Mus musculus: one gene and its partner. The protein of the gene in region 1 interacts with the protein of each later gene in a biochemical or structural test. Links are inferred from orthologs where the notes say so. Each region holds a gene or a part of one and is shown in the gene's direction. Other genes may lie near its edges.

Evidence for each region. The genes of interacting proteins can lie anywhere in the genome.
Region 2: the proteins of Rps6ka1 (region 1) and Arhgef12 interact in a test that uses a peptide from one of them, tested with the Homo sapiens proteins (2 studies listed by BioGRID and IntAct, with this or other methods). The link is inferred for Mus musculus from reciprocal best matches to the Homo sapiens genes RPS6KA1 and ARHGEF12.

The regions. Positions count from the first base shown.
Region 1 is NC_000070.6:133,882,685-133,890,183, reverse strand, and holds the start of Rps6ka1 (ribosomal protein S6 kinase alpha-1), read left to right. Parts: upstream 1-2,386; 5' UTR 2,387-2,551; coding exon 2,552-2,614; intron 2,615-6,685; exon of another isoform or gene 6,686-6,785; intron 6,786-7,499. UniProt on the Homo sapiens protein: Serine/threonine-protein kinase that acts downstream of ERK (MAPK1/ERK2 and MAPK3/ERK1) signaling and mediates mitogenic and stress-induced activation of the transcription factors CREB1, ETV1/ER81 and NR4A1/NUR77, regulates translation through RPS6 and EIF4B phosphorylation, and mediates cellular proliferation, survival, and differentiation by modulating mTOR signaling and repressing pro-apoptotic function of BAD and DAPK1.
Region 2 is NC_000075.6:43,100,746-43,108,230, reverse strand, and holds the start of Arhgef12 (rho guanine nucleotide exchange factor 12), read left to right. Parts: upstream 1-2,512; 5' UTR 2,513-3,020; coding exon 3,021-3,052; intron 3,053-7,485. UniProt on the Homo sapiens protein: May play a role in the regulation of RhoA GTPase by guanine nucleotide-binding alpha-12 (GNA12) and alpha-13 (GNA13). Acts as guanine nucleotide exchange factor (GEF) for RhoA GTPase and may act as GTPase-activating protein (GAP) for GNA12 and GNA13.

The DNA.
Region 1 (7,499 bases):
AAAAAAACCAAAACAAACAAAAAAGACAGGAGTTGTCCAATGCTTAAAGAGAGGGCAGGTCTGGAATTCAAATCTATGGGGTTTTTTGGATTCCAAAGTCTTTTCTACTCAAAATGCAGTTCAAGTCATCCATTCCACTAAAGGGGAGACTCGGGATAAGGGGGCATGTAGATTTTCGAGAAATTGGTGTCGACTTCATTGTGTATGTGTGTGCACGTGTGTCTGTATGCATGTGTCTGTACATATATGTGCATGTACATATACACATGTGTGCATGTGTCTTTGTGCCTGTGCATGTATGCATATGTGCATGTAAATGTGTGTTATATGTGCATGTGTCTGTGTACACGTCTGCATGCATATGTGCATGTCTGTGTGCATGTGAGTGTATGCATGTGTGCACATGTCTGTGTGCATGTGTCTGCATGTATGTATGCATGTGTCTGTGTGTATGTGAGTGTATGCATGTGTGCACATGTCTGTGTGCATGTGTCTGCATGTATGTATGCATGTGTCTGTGTGTATGTGAGTGTATGCATGTGTGCACATGTCTGTGTGCATGTGTCTGCATGTATGTATGCATGTGTCTGTGCATGTGAGTGTATGCATGTGTGCACATGTCTGTGTGCATGTGTCTGCATGTATGTATGCATGTGTCTGTGGTACCTGTGCATGAGGATGTCTGAACATGTGCATGTGAGTGACCATGTATGTCTAGGCTACAGGTTTATCTTTTTATTGTGTGAGTCTCTCTTTGAACCTGGAACTCACCTATTTGGCTTGCCTGGCTGACCAATGAGATCCTGTGTCAGTAGCCTCCGCAGTGAGATTATAAATGCTTACTGGGAAAACAGCATCTGTTTTTATTTCTTTTTTGATTTAATTTAATTTTTGATTTTTAGACAACATCTCTATTATGCAGTCCACACTGGCCTCAAAGTCACAATCCTCTGGCCTGAATCTCCTGGATTAAATTTATTTCTATTTATTCATTTATTTATTTACTTAGTTGGGTTTTTGGGGTTTGGGGGGTTTGTTTGTTTTGTTTTGATACAGGTTCTTACTGTGTAGCCCTGGCTGGCCTAGAATTGGCTAAGTAGCCCAAGCTAGCCCTGAACAGAGATCCTCCTGCCTCTGCCTCCCTACTGCTAGGATTAGAGGCGTGAGTGACTTCTCTCCACTTAAAAATGTACTGCATTAAAATGTCTTTATCGGGGAAGGTTGTCCCTGTGCACATTTGTGGAGGTCAAAGGACTGCTTATGAGTTGGTTCTCTTCCACCACATGGGGCCTGGGGATCAGACTCAGGGAAGGCAAGCTCTTTTACCCATTGAGTCCATCCACGGACCCACCCCACACTCTTTTAAACACCAGTGTGCTCCTGACCTGCTGTGTGACTTCGGATAAATAGCTTAGGGTGTCTACTAGGATGGGGTGGAGTCTCAAAAAAAAAATCACAAGCTGCCTGAAGGTGGAGGTCGGAGATACTCAACACGACCTGGCCGGCAAAGCCTGGGTTCCATGGCCATAACCAAGCAAGGAAACGTAACAAAAAATAAATTCCCTATCAATGACGCCTGTCTTCGCTGGAGGCTTTTAATAAACGAGCCAGCTTGTCTTTCACCTGAGAGTAAGTCTCACGACACCTGGGGCCTAAAATCTCCTTAAGAGCAGGCCAAATCTTACTGGAGAGAATCCTGATCCCACCAGAACTGGATTTTGCCTTCTTTCCAGGGACTCCTGCTCAAGTCAGACCACAATCTGGTCTGCCACGGAAGAGGCGCGGACCTGGCCTGAAACCAGCGCCCTCAAGTGATAGGGCACAACAGACTAGGAAGGAGAAAAAAAAATGCGTATTAGGAAATCACCCTGGGGGCGCTGTGGGTCCTGGCGCTGGCTGGCTTGGGACCCGGGGATCACATGGAGACCCCAAAGTGTGGGCTCCCGTGATGTGCACAAGCTTTCGGAAGGGGGCGATCCTAAGGGCTTGGAGAGCTGAGAGCCAGAGGGCACAAGGCCCAGGCTCCTTCCACGCCTCAGTCGGGATCAGGCCCAGGACGTCCCATGTAAATGTGGGGTGGCAGCCCCTCCCCCTGGAGGGAGAAGGCACATCTGGGTTAACATCCCAAAGGCTGCTAGGACAGGACAACGGAGGCCCCAGCGAGGTCTGCAAAGCGGCACAAAGCCCGGGAAAACGGAACCCGCGGAGCCTCCGGTGGGCAGGGCCGACAGTGGGCTGGGGTCTCTCGTGAAGGCAAGGCTGACTCCCGGCGCGTTGGGGGCGGGGGTCCGCGCCGGGAATGCCGCGCCGTGGGGGGACTGGGCGGGGCTACTCAGGCCCCGCCCCCGCGCAGGTAGCCAATGGGCGCGGCGGCGCCGGGTGACGGAGCGAGCCGAAGTGCGAGTGCCGCGGCGGCGGCGGACGGCCCATCCAGAGCGCGAGGGGCTCAGGGGCGTGCGGGGGTCTCGGTGTAGCAGCAGGGACCCCGTGGCCCAGAGGCAGCGCTGCCCGGGGCCGCCGGGAGGAGCGCGGGCGGTCCGGCAGCGGCGCGATGCCGCTCGCCCAGCTCAAGGAGCCCTGGCCGCTCATGGAGCTGGTGCCGCTGGACCCGGAGGTGAGTGAGAGGGGCGGGGGTTGGGGGGACAGGCGGCGGCGGCCGGCCAGCCCGGATCCGCACCGGGGCGGGGCGGGGGCGGCCCGCGGCGTCTCTGCAGCCCCGCGGGGACGTGAGTGCCCTCCGGTCTCTAGCTCACTGTCCGGCTCCACCCCCTTGTGCTCCGGGTGTGCGTGTGTAGGGGATGGTTCTGCTGGGCTCTCAGTACCTCCCTGCAGTAGCCAGGAGAGGAATCTCCACGGTGTGTTGAGATCTGACACCTAGGACCCATCCCGCTTATCATCTTTTAGTAGCTGTGGGAGTTGCCCCAATCAGTGCAGAAGGGAGAAAGGCTTGGGTCAGATGTCTAGGCTTCTACTAGAGACAAGGATCATGGGAATCCGGTTTCTCACCTTAACCTCTCCCCAAGACCTCTCTTCGTTCCTCCACTTCTGACCTTAGGAAGGTAGCCCTGCTGAATCCCAGGCAGTTATGGAACGTGGGACGATACCACCTCTGGAGTTGGAGCCTGCTTTCCTTTGCCCTAAAGCTAATGACACCGGGTCTTCCTACTTCAGATTATGCTGAAGAGTGGGGAAAGTCCTTAGATCTTGTGAAGACTGTCTCTGTAGAAGAGACTCTGCCTCCGTCTTCCTCTCTCCCTCCTTCCTTTCCTGTAGAAAAAGGCTGAGCCCTTGGGCAGTATGGCTTCTGCCACCTAGCCTTTCCCAGAAGCAACTCCTGTCTTTTTTGAGGGCTTTGTGGTCCAACCCTGAGCATGCAGGAGGCCACTTCTGTGCTGTCCTGTCACCCTGGGATCAAGGTCAAGTTTTGAACCAGCAACTTTAAAACTTTCCCTGCTCTCCTGCTGCGAAGGAGGCAGGTGAAACTCTGCCTTCCTTCACTGGAGCTGTTTTGGGGTACAGGAGGCTGGGGTACAGGAGACCTCACTTGATCCCAGAACCTAGATGCTTTTTCTCCTGGCTTGAACCCCTTTACCTATGCTTGGTACCTCAGGTCAGTCACTGTGAGCCCTGTCTCTCAGGACCACGGGCAGAGAGAGGATCCACAGTGAGATCCCCAAGTCTCCAGGCACTCAGGGCATGCTGCCCCTTTAAAGGGATGGGCTACACTGGCTATTGGAGGGTGGGCGCGGCTGGATTAGGTAACCAACCTGAAGGCGCAATTTGGAGTAAATTGTTCTGGGATCCTTGCCACGGGGGTTTTACAGGCCCTACACAGGCGCTCAGAGGCTGTCTGGCTGACTCACCCTCCTAGGTGAGGAGCACTGCTCTCTGCAGCCCCTGGTGCTCCCCCCACACTCCCCAGGACTGGGGCACAAGGCCCCAGGGAAGGCTCAGAGGTGTACTCCTTGGCTTGGGCACGCCCCTGCCACCTGGGCCTCCAGAGGAAGGGAGGCCTGACCTCGGTATGGCTAGGGAGGGACTCAGCCTAGGGACTCACAGCTTTACCCTAGCGCGGAGAGTAGAGTTCTAGGAGTGCTGGCCTCCTCCAGGGCAGCACTTCCTGCTTCCCTTTGGGAAATCCTGAGGCCAGAGGCAGCCTCATGGGGGCCAGGTTAAACCGGAAACATCTTAGTTTGAATACTGTTGCACCTGAATTCAGGCGAGGGGAGACTGTCACATTTCCTGGGATGGGGGAGAGGAGTTTTTTCATTGAGTTTCACTTCAGAAATGTTGTGTGGCCCTAAGTCCATCTTCAAGCTGTCTGGGCCTCTCCTTCCAGCACCACAGATGAGTTTCTAGCTCTACTTCCTGGGCCTGACAAGGTGCAAAACCCTGGGTCCTGCTGCCTGGGTCCCCTCCCCCAGGCCATGGAGGTGCCTGTGGACTGGGTGTTATTGTTTGGGTAACCAGAGCTGTGGGGCAGTGAGGGTGTGCATGCTCACTTGAGAACAGGGCCCTGCTGTTCTTCGTGCAGATGACACGTAAGTGATACAGTGCCTAGCCTGCAGGTACTGGCGCCATTGTGGCCAGGAAGAAGGCAGGTAAGGGGGCTGGCAAGGGCATTTGGCAGAAGAGGTCTGGGATCTGAATTGCCCTGTCTTCCCATTGCTGTCACCAGAAGTGGGCTGCTGGCAGGCAGGGCCCAGGTGGACTAAACCAACTGGACGTAGGGGTGAGGATGTTACCTGGGCTTTTTTTGGTTCTGCTGAAAGCAGCAGAGCTTTGTCTCCAGCTGCTACTTATTGATGTCATGCAACTTTAAAAAAGATGACCCCCCCTCCCATTTTCAAATGGGAAGGCAGGACTCAGGGATGCTGGCGTGTGCATTAATATCAGGACTAGAACCCAGTGCTGTCACTGTTTCCCTCCAAGCAAGAGAGACTCAAAGATGAGTGTGGGGTGGGTTTCAACTGGCACAGGTGGCAGGTAGGCAGAGAGCAGCTCCGGATGTTGGCACACACTTCTCAGGCCTCAGGGCCTTTGTCCAGCCTTGGCTGAGGGCTAGCAGTGTCCTGGCACTTGGCCCCCAGGCTCCAACAGTGCAACAGGGCTGCCAGGGCTGGGCTCAGAACCCAGTTCCTGGGGCTGCTTCCTGCCTGCAGGGCACGTGCTGTCTTTCCCCATCTGTTCTGCTCCCAGCTTTTCCAGAAGCTGCTCTGGACCCTTAGGTAGAAAGCAACATGTCTGTTAGGACCCGACTCTAACTCCTGGAAGGGGTACAGGGCACTAGGGGTTCTGAGCAGATGTCCATCTTCATGAGCTGTCCTCCTGAACAAGAGAGGAGAATAGAGTGCTCCAAGAGGCCAGGGGGACTTCCCTGTCTCAGGCTTTTCTCCCTGGTTCCAGGGTCTGGTCTTCATGTCATTTGTCTCTCCCTTCCTTTTTCCTCGCCTTCCCTCCCCTCCCTCCTTCCATCCAACCAGGGCCTTATGTGTACTACGCAGGTACTCTACCTCTGAGTTAAATCTCCCCCTAGGCCTTTTTAAAAGTCAGTTTCCCCAGGGGCCAGAAGAGGGCATTGGATCCCCACCACCCCTCCAAGCTTCAGTTACAGGCAGTTATGAGCTGTTCAACATGGGTGCCGGGATTTGAACTCATGTCCTCTGGAAGAGCAACAAGTGCCATTTACCATTGAGTCATCTCTCCAGCACCCCTTAGGCTTTTTAGACAGACTTCTTTCAGTCTCCTAGGTCATAGAGTGCAGCTCCTGACATGATAGACATGGAGACATGGGGCAGAGGAAGAAACCAAGACGCTGAAAAGGGATGTGACAGCTCTCACTCAGAGCCACTTGTGCCGGTGGCTTTGTGGTTACACAGCTGTGTTCTTCCCGCTGTCCCACATGCCAGACCAAGAGGGCAGGTGATCTCTGCCATCCTGTCTGTCCCTCCTGTCCTCTATGGAGGATGGGTCACTTTTCTAGAGATCCCGAGAAATGGGTCCATGGGGTAGGATCCGAACTAAACAAGGCTTGGTGGCAGAGGTCCCTGAATTACCTAAAAACAACTTGACACCTCTTGCTATGCCTTCTTTCCTTCGTCAGGGATTTAGGCTCGCAAACACATGACTTTGAGTCATGGACCCATGGCTGCCACCTGCTAGCTGTGGTGAGCCCTTTTGCTGAACCTCAGCTAAAAAATACGGTAACAAGAACCTACTCTGGCTGGGCAGTGGTGGCACACGCCTTTAATCCCAGCACTTGGGAGGCAGAGGCAGGTGGATTTCTGAGTTCGAGGCCAACCTGGTCTACAGAGTGAGTTCCAGGACAGCCAGGGCTACACAGAGAAACCCTGTCTCGAAAAGGAACCTTCTTTGGCTTCCTTGTTGTCTTTGCTGGGTTGACCTTTCACCTTTCATTTGTCAAACTGTATGTTTGACCCTGGCTCAGAACTAAGGCGCTGATGAAAGACACGAGTCCTGCCCCCTCCTGAGTTTAGGTGTCTGCTCAGTGCTGGGACCGCAGAGGACAGAGGGAAGAATTAGGGGCTGGGTGGGCAGAGGAGTTAAAGTTTGAACGGAGCCTCAGTAGAAAGGGCTTCTTGTTAGGGTAAGCCACCGTATAAATGCTCAGTCACATGGGACAGGTCTACTCAGTCTCAGATCACTTCAGCGGAAGCCCCAAAGAGCACCCAGGAGAGCTTGCTAAAACTGGAATGATCCACGGAAGATTAGCATGGTCTCTGGGTGAGGATGGCATGCTAATTCACGAAGCGGCCCATTGTTAAGATATTGTTAGTAGTTATTTTTGTGTGTATTTACACATGATGGGTGCACATGGGCACTCATATGTGTGTGTGTGTGTGTGTGTGTGTGTGTGTGTGTGAGTGTGTGTGTGTATGCGGGCGGGCGGCCATAGGACAACTTTGTGGAGTCAGTTCTCTCTTTCCATACTTTTGTGCTTTTCAGGGATCGAACTCAGGTCTTCAGGCTTGGTGGCAAGCACCTTAAACAGATGAGCCGTCTCGTCAGTCTCACAGTCTGTATGTTTACAGCTTGAGAAAGGTTATTTTTGGCTGCCCTGAAATACTTTCAGGTGGATGAAAATGTCAGAATTCATCTCTTTTTATCAAGAGTGCCCTTCAGGTGAACGTGGTGTGAGTCTTCATGGCTGGCCACGTGGACAGACATTCTTGTGGTAAATGTTGTCTAACTTACTACTTTAATAGGCCAGAAGACAAAGGATTCTGTATGAGTTAGTAAAAAGATGGGAACTGGGTAGGGGTGACAATAATACTGGCTCCAGTGGCTACTCTTTATGGGCCAGTCCCATGCCAGCTGTATTTATGGCTTCATTTCATTGACATTAAACAGCCGCCCATTTAGTCCCATTTTACAGGTAAGAAGACTGAGCCGTGAGAAGTATAATGACCTCCTTGGCGCCATGCAAATGGTAGAGGCCAAAATTTGAACACACAGTTTTTCCTTTTTTTTTTTTCAGT
Region 2 (7,485 bases), on another chromosome or scaffold:
GACAGTGGATTTCTGATGCTTACAACAGTCCTGGGTACAGCAGGCCCTTCATAAGCACATTGAAGCAGTGAATAAGAGGATAAATGTGGCCTCGAGGATGTTCCACTGGAAACTGCATGTCCAGGGATTGGGTCACTGGTGCCACTTTCCTAGGTAAAGGGCTATGTGTGACCTAGGGAAGGGACCTTGGTTTGCTTGGCTCTACTGAAGGCATTCCATAGGTAGACTCTTAGTGGTGAAGTTATAATGAGCCTTTTGTCAGGATATTAAAAAATAAAATCAGAGCCTTGTGAGTGATTAGAGATTTTCATCATTGAAACAGTAGTTATTCAGTCCTCTGCTGACCATCTTCTGAAAGCTTTCCCACAGCAAAATGCCGCCTTTGCTCACAGCTAGAACGCTGGGGCTGTAAAATTTGGAAAGATGTTGAAAACAGCTTGCCAAAAGGTTTTGTATGCAAGGAAGAGAAGGTGAACTAGGAAGTGTTCCCAGTTTGTCTCACCCCTGAAGCTCAAGCATTGAGGCAGGCTGGAAAGGAAGACGGGAACTTATTTTTAAAATTCATGATTTGATGAGTCATCAGACCCCCCCCCCCCATTCGCTTGATACTTGCATTGTGACATTAGTAGGACAAGGGAGAAGAGGACAGCACACTCAAGAAAACTCGAGTAAGCTTGGGGAGAAGGTTCACATCTCGTTTATAGTGATGGATGTTTGGAACTCTTTCCAACGATAGGTAGAAACAAGTTGGAGTCTTCAGGCTAGAATTGCCATGTTGGGATTTACCAGCAGATGGCAACGTGTCCAGGTCTGATCGTTAGGAAAGTGGCTTGGAACTCCAATCTGCTTCTATTCTTTCCAAAAATAAACATTACAAAATTAGCTGGCTGTGCCCCGAACTTAAAAAAAAAAAAATCTAGCGAGAGAGTCATTTCAGGCTTCTGTTTATCTTTTCCCCTTTGCCCCCCATTCTAACGTCACCTTGAGCTCATGCATCTATTCAGGGGTGATGATCCGATCGTTTCGCGAACTGTTGTGGAATGACTTAGAAACAGCATTATTAAGAGGTAATTATTTCCTTTCCACACCCACTGTTTATTAGATTTGATTTCCACAAAATGGCCGAAGTCTCTTCCCACCTACACGGATTGAAGCTCAGAAGAGACTGAAGATAATTGTATAAAAGGAATAGTCGCTTGATGTTTACAGGCAGAATTGGAGAACTATATTGTGTCGTGGTCCCTCATTTCCTCAGGGACAGATTTATTCAATCAGAAAACTACATGGTTAGCTGAATGTCTCTACCCCATCGAAAGAGAAACCAGAAAACATTTGGGAACTCTTCAAAGGGATCCCTCGTGCTGTGCTGTTTACCGGACAGATGTATTACTTCTTCCATCTCTTTTCACAACACGCTTATTAACTTGCTGTGGAAAGCACCATGCGTTCTCAATTTGGCAAACAATACAGTTCATTTTGCCAAGGCAAAACAGCCTAAAAGCAATATTTATATCAGGAACTCCTGGCTTAAGTGTGGGCCCAGATCCTTTCTCCACAGCCTCTTCTGGCCATCCCCCCACCCCTTTCCCCTCCGTGCTGTGGGACTAGGCCAGCAGGTGCCCCAGGTGATTGGCTCACCCCAAAACCTGTGTGTGTGTGTGTGTGTGTGTGTGTGTGTGTGCGCGCGCGCGCAGGTTTGCCTAACACTGTCGGGGGCCCGTGGACCTGGGCTCGCACGCAGTCATCAAAAGCATTTGACACCGGGAACGAATACATTCTCTTAAAGAATAAAAGTTTCCAGCCCGGGAGTTCCGAAGAACCTCTAAACGTGAACTCCTCGAGACTGTGGAATGGCTCCTCTGCTGTCCCGGGTGGATTGTACACTGTGGGCTGCACCTCGAGAGCATTCGAGGGGCAAGAAGGCAGCAGTGCCCGCTTCGCCACACAGAACTACTTTTTCGCTTCCCTCTATCCCCCGCGACAGCACTGAGCGGAAGTATCTGCTCAAGTTTGGAGAGTCCGGGAAGCGGAGGGATCCCGGGTGAAGCGGCTTCCCGAAGTCCCAGGGAGAAGGGCCCAAAAAAGTCGGCGGGGGAGGGGACGGCTCGGCGCGCTCCAGTCGCGCCGGGCCGAGGGGACAGAACCGGAACCGGAACCCGCGCGCGCGCCCGCCCGCAGCGGTCGCAAGGCTCGTCACCGCCGGCGGCCCCCTCCACCCTGGGCGCGCTCCCGCGAGTGCCCCTGAGACCGGGCGAACGGCCCTGCGCACCGAGCCTCCACCGCCACCGCCGCCGCCGCTGCTCGGGGGCCGGGCTTCCGGGCCGGGCCGAGACCTCCCGCTCCTCGCGGGAGCCGCCGCCTACCAGAGCGTCGGGGAGGAGCCGCCGTGCCACTGCGGAAGAAGCGCGGGGGCCTCCGAGGGATGGGGAGCTGCCCCGGGCGCTGAGACAGGGTCCCTGTCAGCGCGGCGGCCGGAGCCGGGTGGGGGCGGCGCGGAGCAGCTCAGGGCCCTCGGCCCGGGGACATGGGGCGGCGCGAGTCCGGCGCGGGACGGTGTGAGACGCGGCGGAGGCTGCGGCCACGAGTGGCCCGCAGCCCCAGATAGAGCGGGGACCCGAGGGCCGGGCCCCGCCGACTCGGGACCGAAGCCGACGCCCGTCCCTGAGCCGATCCTGCCCCAGCTCCGGAGGGATCCCGGTTCCCGTCCTACGGCTCGCGACTTCCCTCTGTGACGAAGTTTTCTCTCCGTGCCTTGCTGAGGATCGTTCTTAGTTCTTGAGCTCGCCTTGTGGCCGACTTGCTCGGTTTGTTTGGGGAGATAACTTGTTTTGCCTCAGCCCGCATCCCCTTTCCTTGACCCCTTGCAATCGGATGTTCTAGATGACTGAATGGAGTTTTGAGTTGGACTTTTGTGTCCCTGCCGAAATTGGGCCTGATCCCAGAGCACTGGGGGTGGGGTGTGGAGGTGTTACTGTAAAATGCAAGTTGGATAAAAAGAAGACCTCTCGCCAAGGGCCCCAATGAGTGGCACACAGTCTACTATCACGGACAGGTGGGTATGAAGTTCCTCGGTCGCTAACCTTCCCTGGATTCGGTCCCACGCAGCAGGGGAGTCGGTGATGCAGATTTGCCTTCAGCTAGTGCAATTGACAGGCATAGGAAAGAGGGTTGTTTCGGAGCTGTGCAATTAGTCTAGGGTTGCTGCCAAGTTAACCGGTTGATTGAATTTGGAAATGCAGGTTTTTTTGGGAGAGAAACTTTCCCCCATATTCTCAGAGGAAATGAAGGAAAACCATGATTGTGGTTTTCTGTCGGGTGCATTAAGATTGTGTACTCGTTTTGGAACCAGAGGGAGGTCATTTTGGGTGAAGGTCAGAGCTTGAGGTCGGTGGGTACTGGTGCATCATCGGGTGGATTCCTGTCCTGTGGTAGTTCTAGACTCACAATTTTAGGAGTTTCTGTCTGTGAACTTAATTTTCATCCTGCTGCATTGTGATTTGTGACTCTGATCTTTTTACGTGTTGACCTGCACAGTGTTTAATTATTAATTACCTAATTTTCCAGAATGTTGACATTACCAGTAAATCACGGGTTCTTGCTGGGGACAGTTTCCAGGAGCTAAAGGAAATGAGGGAAAAATCATGGGGCCTGCTTCTAATTATTCTTTTTTTTTTTTTTTTTTTTTTTAACATTTCATCTTTCAGAAGCCCTAGCATTTAAAGATGTAAACTCTAGCTCTGGTTTAGGCATGGCAGGTGGATCTTGTTTGTTAATCGGGTGACACGGTGTGGTGTGTAGAGTATGTAGTCCAAGTGTAGTTCTTAAAGAGGTCCTTTGAGTTCTTTTTAGTGAAAGCAAGTTGCTTCCTTTAGCATATTTTATTCCTCAACTAAATTATGACATTGCATGTTACTTCCAAATTTTATCTTGTTGTTTTTTTTTCTCAAATTGTTGTCATAAAACAAAACAAAACAAAGCAAAACAAAGTATTGAAGCAGAAGGCCAAAAGTCTTCAAGAGCAACATTAGTGCTCCAGCGGAAAGCAGTTTAGTTTCCTAATGAGAGAGTCTCACCCAATTGTGCGACTCATTTGTTGATTTTTAAAGGGGCCAAATTCCATTATCATACCATAACAGCTTCTCCAGAGACAGGGCTTCCCTTTCCTGTTGATGCTTTCCAGTGTCACATGAGTGTTCACCTAAAAGATGCCCTAAATATTTAAAGTACTTATGTTTATCCTTTGTTTGTCTGCTTTGCTAGGCAGGGTTTCATTTCGGTTTTCCTGCTAATACAATGTACTTCTATGTAGAGACAGTTGTCAGGGCTCTTCCTGTTACATCTACCATCCTGGTCCCTCTCCTGGCCTGACTCACAGGTGTCCAGATAATTGTGCTGCTGGTTCATTCAGTCCTTGCCTGTCAGTTGAGCCTAGAGTTAAGCAGACTTACCAGAAACTGGTGTAGCCCTGGTTTTCATTAAGATGTTGCAGAGTTTAATAATTTGTAGAAACAGAATTTAGAGTCACTGAATCGTTCCACACAAAAGTCACACAAAAGCACCCATGGAAGGATTTTTTTTTTCTTCCCCAGCTTTTTTTCCTCAGGGATTTTTGTTCTCTTTCTGGTATATAAACACATTGGACATAAACATTGAAATCTGAGTCTTTTTTAAAAAAATAACTTAATTCTTCTTATGAACCGTAAACATGTACAAAAATAAATCTTAAAAACCCCTGACTGCAGGTATGTGCACCTGGGATAGAAGAGGCTTTAGGATTTCATGGGAGCTTGTGAGCTGCCTACCCTGGGTGCTGGATATGTAACTTGGGTCCTCTGCCAGAACAAGAACAGTATGGGTGTGCTCCTAACTGTTGAGCCGTCTCTTAGCCCCCCACCCCCACCCCATTTTTCTTCTTGTATCTGGCTGTGTGTAGCATGGCAGTCCTCCCCCTGCCTAAGTCTCCTGAAGAGGTGGACTGCCTCCCTGCTGGATTCTTGCTCTTAGATATTTATGTGAGAACAGTGGATGCACATTCTGTGGAGTCAAGTGTTGTATCTGCCTCCCTTCCCCCAAGACAGGGTTTCTCTGTGTAGCCCTGGCTGTTCTATCTGTATGTAGGCTAGGCTGGCCTCAAACCCAGAGATCCTCTTGCCACTGCCTTCTGAGTGCTGGGATCAGAGGCGTGCACCACCACTGCCCCACCTTAAGTGTTTCATCTTTTTCTTATCTTTTTTTTAAAAAAAAATACTATTTATTTAATGTATATGACAGTCCACGGTAGCTGTCTTCAGACACACCAGAAGAGGGCATTGGATCCCATTACAGATGGTTGAAAGCCACTATGTGGTTGCTGGGAATTGAACTCAGGATCTCTGCAAGAGCAGTCAGTGCTCTTAACCACTGAGCCATCTCTCCAACCCAAGTGTTTCATCTTTTAACATAGAGGAAAAAGTTACATTGGTCAAGGGAAGCAGTCTAAATATGTTAATGCTTTGTGGGGCTTAGGCCTAAATAACTTCTCATCATAAACCTCTACTATGTTGCTTCAGACAACTGAGCCATGTAAAATAAGATCCTGGACTAAAACTAATTGAAATCCAGTTCTTTGTCAGGCACTGGAGTTTGGTGGCTCTCTTTTCCCCTTTAAAAAGAGAATTACTAGGTGACCACTACTTTTTTCTTCTTCTTTCCAAACGTACTTTGTAAATATGAAGCAGCCCTTTCTCTTTAAGAGGGTAGTAATTCCCGGTTTGAGTATATGTTGACGTGAGATCTGGAAGTACTGGTTTAATAGTACTTATGCCAGGTCTTCCTATAGACTGCAGCTTCTCCTCCGCCCTGTGTACATCCTTTCCCACTGACTTAGCAGGAGATAGATTCTTACCAATTCTAGGACTGTCGGCAAATTAATAATGCCAGTGCAGCTTTTCTGAGACCCTTTCAAGTTTGAAGTACTGTATGTGGTGTGGCTTTGTTCTGTGGAGTGTGCAGAGCCACCAGGGCAGCTGTATGAGTTGGAGTTCTTTCATTGTGGTGCTTCTGACTACAGAGTCTGTCTGTCCTCAGTGGAAATCAGACTAGCTGGTTTTGGGCGTTGTTCTGTTTTGCAGTTTGTGGCAGGCGACACATGGCTGAACAAGATAAGAAGGGTTTTATTCTTGTGTTAGGGACGTGCTGGGGCTGGGATGGAATTCAGTTCTCTGTTTAGGCTCTGATTGGTCACTTTGGATACTCAGAACTCTCTCACATCCTGTTATTATTTTGCAGTTAGAGTCACACATCCATTGGCTCCCCCTTTTCCTTTCTCTTACTTTTTTTTGGCTCGGGGTGGGGGGTTGGGGGGTGCTTTTTGAGACAGAATTTCTTTTAATAGCCCTGTCTACCTTGAACTCATTTTGTAGATCAGTTTGGCTGGAACTCACAAGAGATCTGCCTGCCTCTGCCTCCAGATTGCTGGCATTAAAGGCAAGCAGCTACCTGGCTAACACTGCTGTTTTTATGTAGTGTATCTGAAAAGCATTTTTTTTAAAGATTTATTTATTTTAATTAATTAATTAATTTTATTTATTTTATTTTAGTTTGGGTATTTTTACTTTGAGTATTTTATTTATTTTGAGTATTTTGCCTGCATGCAAAGATATGTGTACCACATGTATGCTTGGTGTGATGGTCTGGAACTGGAGTTAGAGACAGTTGTGAGCTGCCACATGGGTGCTGGGAATTGAATCTGGGTCCTTTAGAGGAGCAGCCACTTAACCACTTAATCACTGAGCCTGAAAGCTGAAAGCTTTTTTAAATTAAGGTTTTTTTTTTTGTTTTTGTTTTTGTTTGTTTTTTGTTTTTTGTTTTTTGTTTTTTCGAGACAGGGTTTCTCTGTATAGCCCTGGCTGTCCTGGAACTCACTTTGTAGACCAGGTTGGCCTCGAACTCAGAAATCTGCCTGCCTCTGCCTCCCGAGTGCTGGGATTAAAGGCGTGCGCCACCACACCCGGCTTAAATTAAATACTTATTTTATGGATGCTTTCTAGTTGCTTGCTTTGTAACTACTATGAAGTCAGAAGACTCAAAAAGTGATAAGAGTGTCTGATTGCTGTTTTCCCTCTGCATTAATGGGTCTATTTAGCCCTAAGACATCCTAATAATTTTTAGTGCTCTCTGGCTTGTTTCTATCCCCAGAGTGGCAGATACTGAGGTGATTGACATTTAAGAAGTAGATGGGAGAGGATGTTTTTTCAGTGGACCCAGTGAATGATTTCAGAGTAGATCCTGTTAACAGCAAGTGTTCAGGGTGGTGCAGTTGGGAGAGTCAGCAGGGTCTTCCTTGAGATGTGTGGACTTTGTTTTGTCTGGGGCTTACAGATCGTGCTGTTTTTGGTTTGTAGCTTGACACAAGTTTTTGATGTGTTGGAATTTACTCAGTACTGAATTTAGCTTTAAGCTGACTTTTAAGTAGCTTTAAAGTGAACACAGAAGTCTATAACTTTA